Linked DNA regions of Oryzias latipes. The protein of the gene in region 2 interacts with the protein of the main gene of each other region in a pairwise test. Links are inferred from orthologs where the notes say so. Each region holds a gene or a part of one and is shown on either strand. Other genes may lie near its edges.

Region 1 (3,935 bases), on a different chromosome or scaffold from region 2:
CCGGGCGTCCCTGCAGGTCTTCAGTCTGACTTGAGCTGCAGGACAGACCGGAAGACGGGGAGGAGCCTGGTCCGTTCGCCGTGACCTTCAGCGAGTGGTTTTCCTGCGCCAGCCTCTCCACGAGGGCCCTGGCCTCCTGGAAGCGACAGCTCAAAAACTCTCGCTCGTCTCTGGTTCTTTGCTGCCATCCCTCCATCTCTTCACAGCGCAGGCGGAGAGCTTGGTTGCTTCTCCGCAGTGCCTCTGGAGGAGCAAACATAAAGTACGACTTTCGTCTTTCGGTCTCACACAGAAGTTTATCCAAACTTTGCTGCCCTGACTCTGTTCTTATGCTGTGATACTATTCACAGATAGAAGAGACAGCATTTACCACATCTGAATGTGTATTTACATCTGCTAGACATGAAACCAACTTCCTGTGTGCGTTCAGGGCAGCTTGAAGTATCCGTCACTCCATTTTAACCAAAAATATCCTTTAAAGACCCACTCCGATCATCTTTTGATCTATTTTTAAACACGTTCTCAGTGGTCTTTTTGATATAATGCGGCCACTTTTAGCCATAATCTAAAAAGACTGCCATTTTCAAGGACATAATTCCTGCAGAGTGGCAGCGATTCATCAAAAATTGACCTCTGAGTTGTGGGCGGGACTGTTGACGTGGAGTAAGCCTGCCCCAACTTCCCGTCACTCACCTGTTTACCCGTTTTCCTGCTAGCTTACAGCCCCTCACACCCCCAACCTAACACTACCGGAGTGACAAAAATGCTGAGAAATATTGGAGCTATCCATCCGTCCAGTTTAGATCCAGATTCCAGCTCAGACGAGGAAAACAAAGACGCACATGGATCTATTTGTCTGCAAGTGGATGCATCAGAATGGAGCGGAGCAGGAAGTTTGTGGCCCGCCAATCATATTTTCTACATCACAAATAAGCTCTTTGTCAAACAGCATTTCACCACACACTCCTGATTCACAACAATTTGAATAAAGAAATACCCTGCAAGCTAAATTTTCTAAGACATCTGAGAAGATGATAAAAAAAAAAAAAAAAAAAAAAATTTTTAATTTTCATCAGAGTGGGTCTATAAATCAATCAAACTTTAATTATAAAGCACTTTTCATATAAAAGTATAACACAAAGTGATTTACATTAAAACAAAACAAAATAAATAACATAAAACAACAATTAACATAAAAAGAAAAATAATAATAAAAAAGAAGTATGAAGACAATATGTTGGAAACGCTAATAATTGGAACCTCCCTTTCTGTGAACAGCCGCATAACCAGCCAAATGCAGCATCACAGGCGGGGACCGCTCCACCACAGCTAAGCAGTGATGCAGGTTCCCATCCAGAGCCGCAGTGGCTGAAGAGCAGCCGATCCAGAGGGAGAGGTCCAAACTATGAAGGAGCTAAATAATTAATTATTTCTGTTTTTCTGATTTTTTTCCGTTTACAAAACAGGCAAATATGGTAAATAACTAAAATAGTGTAAAAGATGGTTAAACCACATATAGATTTGTTTTGAATTAAGCTTCTCTTATTTTCTGCTTTTACGTGTATAAAATATGTCAGTTAAAAAGCTGAGTTAACTAAAGCAGAAACTAAAATATATATACCACAATGTTTTAAGAAGTCAGCCTCTGATTATAAGCGAGCTCCACCCCGCCGGACCTAAAATGTATTTAACTTTAAAAAAAAAAAAAAATATGTTCCTGTCATGGATGAGAAATTGAAAAGAAAAGAAAGCGTAAACAGGGTCAGATGAAGAATCCTCGTTAAAAGTTGTGTGAGCGAAGCCGTGGGTGCGATACCTCTGAGCTGCTGGTTGTCACACAGTAATCTGGACACCACCTCATGACCAGCAAGCTCCGGTGGGACCCTGAGGGCCCCGCCACTGTCCTCCCCTGACATGTCCCACTGCATGGGGCCGTCGGGCTGCGGCTGGACCATTCCTGCAGGATTACAGTGGATTATCATCACACACCTGTCAAAGTCAACATCCAGTCCGTAAGCGTGGAAACAGGTTTGAGCCCTGACATGTGCACCAGGACCAGACTTTCACTTTCATTTTGATTCTTTTACTCATTTTTGTTGAAAATATGAAGCAGATCTGCTCCTTAAAGGCTTCAGCCTCTCTGCTAAAAAAAAAAAAAAAAAAACATGTGGACGTCATCCATGAACATGACTGCAGGTAAGGAAAACATTACGTCATCGTCATCACACCTTAGGCCGGGATAAAAGACACATTGGGTTTAAAATAGCTTTAAAAATGAAAGTAAAGAGAACGCAGTTGGATTTTAACAGAAAAAATAAATAAAATCAACGACCTAATTCCAAACTAGACTGATGTTTTTTTGGTTTTTGGACATCCGTGACTGTCTCTGAACAGTTTGGACGCATACATACTAGTTTATTTTAACAAAACAAGGACAGGATCTCTCTTACCTTAACTTCTTTTTCCCTTTGTTGTCCAGAATAACACACATCCAGAGTTTTTACAGTCCCCCCCTCAAACCTGCGCCAGGAAGGAAGCTCGACGAGTCCAGAAGCACTATTTTGGCTAATTTTTAGCTAGCTAGGCTAATGCGGCAGTGAAGGGCTGGGAAAGCGGCCTCGCTCCTCGGCTGTCATAAACACAGCTTCACGCTGGCAGACTATCGAACCTTAAAGGCACATTCTGTGTGGATGTAGGAGGCCTTTTCTTCCTTTGCTTCACGTTCGCTACGGGGTTTTCGTCCGAGCCGAGGCGACTGTTGTTAGCTCGGAAAATTCCTCGAATATTTTAACCCTGAGTTTTGCCTTTCAGGTGTCGGTTCTCCGGTTTGTAGATCTGAAAGGGGAACGGTTTGAGTATCTTATTTTAAGCACGAACAAGTGTGTAAAGTTTTCCTGCTGAATTAGGTTTTATAAATATAAGATTTTCTACTTTATTTTAATTGATAAAGCTTGCAAATATATTACAGTGAAATATAAAAAAATAATAAAACAGTGAAAGTTGAGTGGGATCACAAAACATTGCAAACTCAGCAAAGTCAAAGTCAGGTTTAGGGGGGGGGGGTGATGATACCAAAAAAAAAGAAAAAGCAGAAAAATCAAAGAAGAAGCAAATTGCAGAAACTGCAACACTTGTTCAAGTATCAGGGATGACTGGTTGACACACACAAAGAAACAGACACTTGATGAAAGAAACTGCTTGAATAAATCAATGCAATAAACATCCTAAAACTTCAATAATGAAGGGAACCAGACAACAGAACAGATAAAATGAAGAGGGTCTGCCACGAATCGACAACGGGATTAAAAACTTGAACCTGGAGCGCTTTGGACCCATGACTGAGACAATAATTTGATAGTATGCACTTTGAAAAAGCCCCAATTAGTAAAAATAGCCAATTTTTAAAATCAATACTAATGTTTTTCTGTTCTCACATGAGCTGCCGCCTCTGACCTGCACCAAAAGCCAGCCGTGTGCTAATGACACATGGGGAGTAACACAAACACAACAATGTGGGGATCCAGCTCATGTTCCCACAGGATTCAGTTCTTTAGGAAAACTGGATTTAAATGGATTCATCTAGATAGGGAGTGGGCAGTCGGGAGGGTTGAGGGCACTCTATGTTTTATAATTTCAGTTTTAATTGTTTGAAGTCAGAAAAGCACTTTGTGTTACTCTAGTAGGAAAAGTGCTGTATACAGAATGTTAAATTTGATGTTGAAAACAAAATAATCAGAATTTGCATCTGTTTATACAATATTGTATTATTTAACATGTTAGCTTGCAGCAGCACACCGTACATTAGCAGTTTGAACTGAAGAGACAGCCATAAAGAAGTGTTTACATCTTGGAGGAATTTTAAAAAAAAATTGGGCACCAAAATTAGGCCGCGTCAAAAGTTGCCTGTCAGGTAAAGCGCAGGGAATCTAAATTCC
Region 2 (7,394 bases):
GATTTAGAACCTAAAAATTGTCAGTTCAGTAACTGAAGCACAGCTGTTCACAACGATTAGAATATAATTGTGAATTTTATGTGTAAATGTTGCAGAAATAATCCAATAAGTAGACGCTGTCACATATTAGTACTGAAAAGAGCAGACTGAGGTGCTTTGATGAAGATGAGACGGATTCTAAGAAACTGGTGGTGTATGTGTAGAAGAAGCTCGAGCTGCAGGCTGGGTATCATCGCACTGATTCGCCTCACTTCCAGATTTTCAAAATAAAACCAAATTTGAGACAGTTTAAAGAAGAAGACAAGAGTTTTCTATGAACAATTAAACAATAGTGAAGTAATAAGTAATAAATCCTCTACATTATAATATATGGGTTAACGATATAAATGTAACATGTTTGTGCTCCAATGAAGCTGCAGTGTTGTGTGAAATAAGAAATCGTAGGTACAATTCAATTATTATGGCTTCCATTTCTAGCATCTAATGATCCAAATTAAAAACTACATTAGTCACAGAAAGAAAAAAAAAGAAGTGAAATTTTAACTAGCGTCAAAGTAGTTCAAGTAATTATTTCTATTGGCCCACTCGTCACATTTAGCAACTCTTTAAAGTGCTCCAGTCTTCCATATTGCACCATTTTTGTCCTCTTTGGGAATCGGATAATTTTTTTTTTATCTCGAGGGTTTTTCTACAGATGGCTTCCTTTCAGAGGCAATTCATGATACCCAGCTCTGGCTTGAGACTCTGCCTGAAACTAGGAAACAAGGCTGCGTTCACTAGATGCTGGTAAAATATATATGACATTAAAGAACACAGTTTTTCTGTTAGTATGGAGACAGTGTCGTTTTTTGTTTGTTTTCTGAACTGAATGCTTCGGCCGGTTGACAAAAGGAACTGCATAGACTGTACAGCCTCAACAGGAATCAACTGGAGGTTGAGGTGCAGCGGGTGCAGAGATTTAGGCAGATTGCCTATCTCCCCACCACAAGCACCGTGTTAATCTCAGCATCTATTCCAGAACAAATATTCACTAAATCCCAAACATCTGAGTGTCAGGACTCTTCAACGTGTGACCCAGGTGACTGTAGTGTTATGTAATCTGTCACATATCCAGCACTGACCTTTATTTTCTCACCTAGTGACCCATGTATTCTGCATATGGTGTGCACGGCTTGTCGCATGTGACAGCTCCTCTACTCTGGTCAACCTGCATCTGGATAAACATGTTCTGAGATAAAATAGTATAAGTAGCTTGAACCCTGATTGTAATGCAGGTTGAGAACGTTTATCAAAGCAACTACAGAAGGGACGGGAAACGGGGGCTACGTAAGGCAGGATCTGGTCATGAATACCACGGTCTACAGATAGCTAGGCATACAGGGCTCTCGAGAGGCCCAAAGGTACGAAGGTAAAGAACGACTTTTGTCACGGGCTGCGTGTCGAGACTCAAGGCTGAGAGCAAGTCCGGGTCTATATCAGGGTTGGGAGCAGGGGCTTTAGGTGGCCTGGTCCAGGGCGCGCAGGAGGTCACAGCCCTGGAGGAGGTGCAGGTTCCCCTGCAGCGGGACGTTGACCTCGCAGTCGTAACGAGTCAACTCCGGCAGGAAGGAGGGCTCGAATGAAGGTCCCAGCAAACGGCTTGCTATGCCTGAAAAGAAACAACAGAAACTGTCAATGTATAAAACACAAGTGCTTAAAATTCTTTAAAAAAATTCTTATTTTTGAAAACTGACCCTTGAAAAAGCTGTGAGATTAATAGAAGTTTGTTTCTAATTTCTTGGTCGAATGAGGAATTTGAGCTTACCCTCTGACTTGCTTGAAGACTGCATGTTGTACTCCGAGTAACTGCAGCTCTTTTGGGCAAACGTCTTTCTGTTTGCTCCGTTTCTCCCGCTCCCTGTGTACTGAGACTTCCTGTGTTTTTCCAGGGAGCATATAAACGGAGACATGCTGCCTGGCATTACCGTCCCCATCGCAGACTCTGTAAAAGGACAATATGATGTAACAGGAAGCAAAGTGAGACGGCAGTCAAATGAACAAAAGTCCACAATACCTGTCAGTGATCCTGCACTGAGGGAACGATCCATGCGGCTGTCATCCCTCATCTTCTTCCATATAACTTCTGCTGGCTTCATTTCACCCTGAAACAGTTCTTTGTTGAGTAAATACCCTTGTCCTTTATTTTCTTCACTATGGAATGCACTTAAAAGATGTAATTTTTCTTCAAAAAACAACAGTGCGTATATATGAATGAATTCCGGTTGTGTTTACTGATGTTGAAGCAATTTTGAGAGCTACACAGTGCACTGTCAAAGTGTTTGGTGTTAATAAAGTCTAAATGATTGACAGATTATCTTTGACTCTTTTGTCTGACTTACTGCCCCTTATAGTTTGGTTTGCCTCAAAATAGACCGTTCAATGGCAGTGCGCCTTTTTATCCGGTCAGAAAATACTGTAATTGCAAACAACTTTTTCAAATAAAAAAATTAAATGTAGTTTAAATAAATATAACATTTGTAAAAATTCACTTGTTTAAAAGGAAGTCATTTTAACTAATAAAGATGAGTTTTGGTAAAAAAACTCAACAGATGGTAGGACCAACAAAATCAGTCTTCTGGTGCTTTTTTTTCTTTCTCAAAGGCATTAAAAAAACTACAAAAATGACAGCAAGGTGTGTCATCAGAGCACAAATGTCAGAAAACATCACTTTTTTTAATCATTATAGGAAAAACTCACCACAGTCATCTGGTTAAAGGACCGCTTGATACTGCTGCCCACGCCTGCTTTAGAACTCATGTCTTTGTATGCTTGCACAAAATTTTCCGTTGACCTGAGTAAAAAAAAAGAGAAAGAAAATAGTAGAAAAACTATAAAAATGGGAATATACACAATAGCGCACATATAATTGTTCTTTCTATTTGTATTCTTTGTGAGAAGCCTTGCAAAGGGCCCGATAACGCCTAAACATTCCTTAGCGTGGATAAAACTTTCAACATTTCTGAGAACTGCAATGCCATGAAAAGCCTTCATTGTTTTTTTTTCTGTTTTCTTCCAAGGAGAAAGGCTCCCACCTAATCTTTAAAAACAGAATCATCAAATTACTTGCTAAATTGTGTTTTCCAAAGGTTTATGAAAGTTATTTTAGACCTCTACTGGATTTTCCCAGCTCATTTTCTCCGTCTTGCACCTGCTTAACCTGAATCTATGGATCACTCAAGTAAAGGGAAAAAAAAGCCAATACATCAAACCATAAGGATGTGTTTGCACACATTCATTTGGTCTGGTTTCTTTTCAACGCTTTGTGTAGTTTTTGTCTGAATTTGAACGGACATGTTTTACAAAACGGTGAGATGAATCACTTTATTTAACTCAAACTCTTTTTTGCAAACATGTTTGGAGTAGTCTCATCCTAGCTCCTTGTTGAAAGAGCTCTGAGGACTGAAATTCTAACTTCTAAGAAGATAAATGTAGCATATAATGAAAGATAAAACTAAAAGTTTCTTCTTTGATTTTATATTGTCATAGTTACATTACCTCGGTTTCTGCATGAGATACGATGTATTTTGCTGGCAGGACGGCCGTTCTTCTGGTAAATCCTCCATCAGACAGGCCTTAGGAGTCCTTGTCGATTGCTGGTAAGTTATTATTGGATCAGGAGGCCACTGCATGGAAGACAGTGGGCCGCTGGCTGGGGCCTGGTACGGTGGAGTCCCCATACGGCCCATCATGTATGACCTCTCCCTGGCTTCCACAGTACCCTGACCAGAGCTTCTCCTCTCCCTGATGGCCCAGGATGGTTGTGGCTCAGGCCGATAGCAGCCTTGCAGTGGAGGGGGAGAGGTCAGCGGCTGGAAGAGGCTTGCAATGTCACTGAAGCTCTGCTGGACGTTCTGTTTGCTGTTGTTGCCCATGGATCCTGCTCCTCCGGAGTTGTCCAGAGGTTCAGGCTCAGGAATGATTGGATTCAGCTGGAAGTCCTCTCCGTCCATCGGGATATAAGGAGCCAAGGTCTCCAGATCCAAATCACACAAATCTCTCTGAAAAATAAAGAGATACATTTATCTTTTATGCTCTTCACTGTTTGGTCGCACTGATGAGTGAATCTCCCCAAAAAGTTATCAGTAAAAAGAAAGATGTAGATAGAAACCTGGAAAAAAAATAATTTAAAAATGTCATTTTAAATGTAATTTATGGAGTTAGACTAATTTTTTTTTGTTGTTTTTAGTTTAAACTCAAATTTAGTTATAATAATAAAGGGGATTTAGGTTTGATTTGAACATGAACACTGAACGTGATGACCTTCATAGTCAGCTGCCTGGAACTCTTAAAACCACATAAAACGATGACTACAAGAGATAAGTCGATATCAAAAGTCGCCATTTCCTCTGTTCAAAATGTAATTAAGAAATATCAGATGACAAAAAGAGTTATGGTCAAAATGATCCCTTCACAAAATGAAAGAAAAAACTCAGGAGAACAGTTTAAGGAATTAAAACACGCCCATGCCAAGATGCCAAGGAGCTTCCAGGAGATTTCTCCGTAGGGGTGCTAAACACAAAAGTTGGCAAATATCTGAATGAACCTGATGCACTTTGCAGGAAAGGGTTGCAGGGTGATGGGAGTTCAAATAAAACCCTTTAGCCTTAAAGCACTGGTTGTGTTTGGATGAAAGAATGAAAACGGTTGGGAGTTTAGTCTGTTGTTGTTGGGGTTTGGGATGCAGCTTGTGGCGCAAAATGATTCCTTAACTTGACACTAATTGGAAAAGCTTAATCAAAAAAGCTGCAGACGCAAGAAGAATGATCTGCAAAATGATGATTCTAAGCAAAGTGTGCAGGAATCTTTTGATAATTCCCATACTTTGCATGGATTTAGTCTTGATAAAATAGATTCTGAATTATTCTAAAACAAGCTATGTTTCTTTTTTTGTATTTATTATTATTATTTTTTTGTGTGCAAAAGTTGTATTCTCTAAATGATTTGATTATTGGAAGGTTTTATTATGAAGAGCTAATGAGACAGACAGCTCTAATTCCAGAGCCTCACACACCTCTGTGTTTGCAGAATTGTTTCCCTCGGTGTCCAGAGCAAAAAGCTTCTCGGTCAGCTCCAACTTCAGGTCGCTGTCCACTGAGCTGTAGTAATCACCGGGGCTGCTGGGCTGCAGGCGAACATTGACAAATGAATTGAACAGATTGAGGCAGAAGTCGAGCAGGAGGAGATGAGAAGGGAAAGAGAGAATAAATGAAAAGAGCAAAAGATGAGTTTTGACAAAGGCGCCATTCACCACTAACAGGCTGTTTCATCCAAAGCATCCACCCCCGATATTCTCACACACTTTGCCCACTTTTGCTGACCTCACTGAACGCGGGGAGAATAATTCTGGACGAAACGCAATCAACCAGTGGCTGACTCACTTGACTAATTAATCCTTTCAACTACACAATCAGGGTCGCAGTCCTCACCGTGGAGCAGCTGCTCAGGCTCGGAGTGGCACTGCCCGGGGGCTTATTCTGCTGCACGGTGAATGCGCCGGCCATGGTAGCCAACTCCCCTGGAACTGCATTGGACCCAGGTTTGTGGCTCTCACTTGCCCAGGACAAAGGTCCCAGCGGGGGCATGGCTGAAGCAGATGCCGGTGTGAATGATGATGGATGTTGAGGCTCCTCAAACTCAGATCGACCTACAAGGAGTCAGAAGAAAGGAAAACTTTTGAATAGAACTTCAAAAAATATATTTAGGAATGTAACACAGGACAGTGTTGCCCCTATAAGTTTTCAAAAAGTACAAGGCTTACCAAAATCAAGAGAAATGATGGTGTCTCCAGGTGTTGGAGCCAGCTGTGCAAGGTCCTCTGGCTCCTCCTTTAGGGTGCTGAACAGGGAGTCTCCTGGCTCCCCATTCATGCCTGCTCCTCCAGCGCTGAAGAAGCTGTTCATGTGTTGCGGCTTGAACAGAGACTCTGTCTGCTCCAAAGAGAATATCACAGCCCTGTCCTCAATGTCACTGCAGGGAGACAAGAAAGGCAAATTAGAACATAGTTTGTGATATTTACCATGTAGAAGAGTTTGGTTAAAACCTTTGGAAGACCTGAGCTCACTGCAGTGACAGGTCTCACCTGAGGACGTAGTTGATGCAGACGATGCATTGTGGCTGAGAGTTTCGGCTGTTATAAATGACGGTTCCCTGGGTTTCCACCCACACATAGCCGCCTTTCTTAGCCAGCATGCGATACTGACCGCTGACTGCCTGACCCTTGCTACACACTGTGGACACAATGAAAACAGACAATGTGTTAAATTAAGAGACACCAAGCGCTTCCTGCTGATACTCAAGTTTGCAGTTAGATAGTGTTGGCTAAGTTTACAATTAGTCCCATCTCATAACCTTTAAAAGAGATGGAAGGAGTGGCTACAAGGGTTTGGATTTATTTAGCTAAAAAATCAAAAGCCTAGTTATTGGAATTTTAAAAAGAAAGTAAATAAAGTATTATTTTTTGTTGGCAAATGAAATCCATTAAAGACTGTTTTTGCCAAGAGTCCTAACAAACAAATGAAGAAAACTAATGCTTAAAACCTGTGACATGTAGGTGTAATGCATTTCAAACGAAATCTGTAACAGTTTTAGGGGAATAAATCATGAAGAAATATGGAAGATCTGCTAACGATGATGTACTTTTACTCTGTCTTCTTCTGTTCTGTGACCTTAACCAGTCATGGTTTATGTTCTTTCTGCCTGGTTTTGCTGGAACTTTCTTCCAGGTTGTAAATGGATTGAGTCATTTCACTCAATTGCTCAGTCTAATTGCTCAGTCTCAGCAATATGGGCTGTTAATGCACAAAATGCAGTATTTCAACTTCAAAGTGGTACCTACAGAATACTATTATATGTGTATATAATATATACACTTTGAAATCTTGTGTTTTCTTGTGGCAAATGTGCTTTTCTGAAAGAGGGGTTCCAAATGTAAAATCATGCTGAATTTGGTGTTTCTACCACAAAATGTATAAATATTTTAATAACCACTTCCACTAATATCATCTACACTCAAAGTTTAAACTTATTGCTATTTCGGACAGTGTTATGTTCCTACTAATAAAATGTAACATTTTTCAAATGAGATCAAATAAAAATTGTTTTCCATCAGGGATTTCCAATCAGTCAAACATTTGTTAGTAGGAAAAAGCTGGATGTTTGACTTTGCAAGGAGGACATGCGCTGGCTCCAGTCCAGAGTTCAGAACTGGCGTGGGAAAAGAGCAGGACTGGTCAGAGATCGTACATTAGGCCAATGACATTGAGAATGTGTGTGCGCCCGTGTGTGTGACTGCGTAGTAGTTTTGGAGAAAAGGCTGTGGCAGCTTTCCACTCAGCAGCTACATCCTTTAGCATGTT

Evidence for each region. The genes of interacting proteins can lie anywhere in the genome.
Region 1: the proteins of endothelial PAS domain-containing protein 1 (region 2) and ikbkg interact in a two-hybrid assay, tested with the Homo sapiens proteins (2 studies listed by BioGRID, with this or other methods). The link is inferred for Oryzias latipes from reciprocal best matches to the Homo sapiens genes EPAS1 and IKBKG.

Annotation. Positions count from the first base shown.
Region 1 is NC_019865.2:4,851,536-4,855,470, forward strand, and holds the start of ikbkg (NF-kappa-B essential modulator), read right to left. Parts: upstream 2,801-3,935; 5' UTR 2,451-2,800; intron 1,958-2,450; 5' UTR 1,956-1,957; coding exon 1,817-1,955; intron 244-1,816; coding exon 1-243. UniProt on the Homo sapiens protein: Regulatory subunit of the IKK core complex which phosphorylates inhibitors of NF-kappa-B thus leading to the dissociation of the inhibitor/NF-kappa-B complex and ultimately the degradation of the inhibitor.
Region 2 is NC_019873.2:14,302,491-14,309,884, reverse strand, and holds part of endothelial PAS domain-containing protein 1, read right to left. Parts: intron 6,267-7,394; coding exon 6,119-6,266; intron 6,007-6,118; coding exon 5,798-6,006; intron 5,684-5,797; coding exon 5,466-5,683; intron 5,162-5,465; coding exon 5,051-5,161; intron 4,038-5,050; coding exon 3,535-4,037; intron 2,831-3,534; coding exon 2,737-2,830; intron 2,142-2,736; coding exon 2,054-2,141; intron 1,982-2,053; coding exon 1,805-1,981; intron 1,649-1,804; coding exon 1,497-1,648; 3' UTR 1-1,496.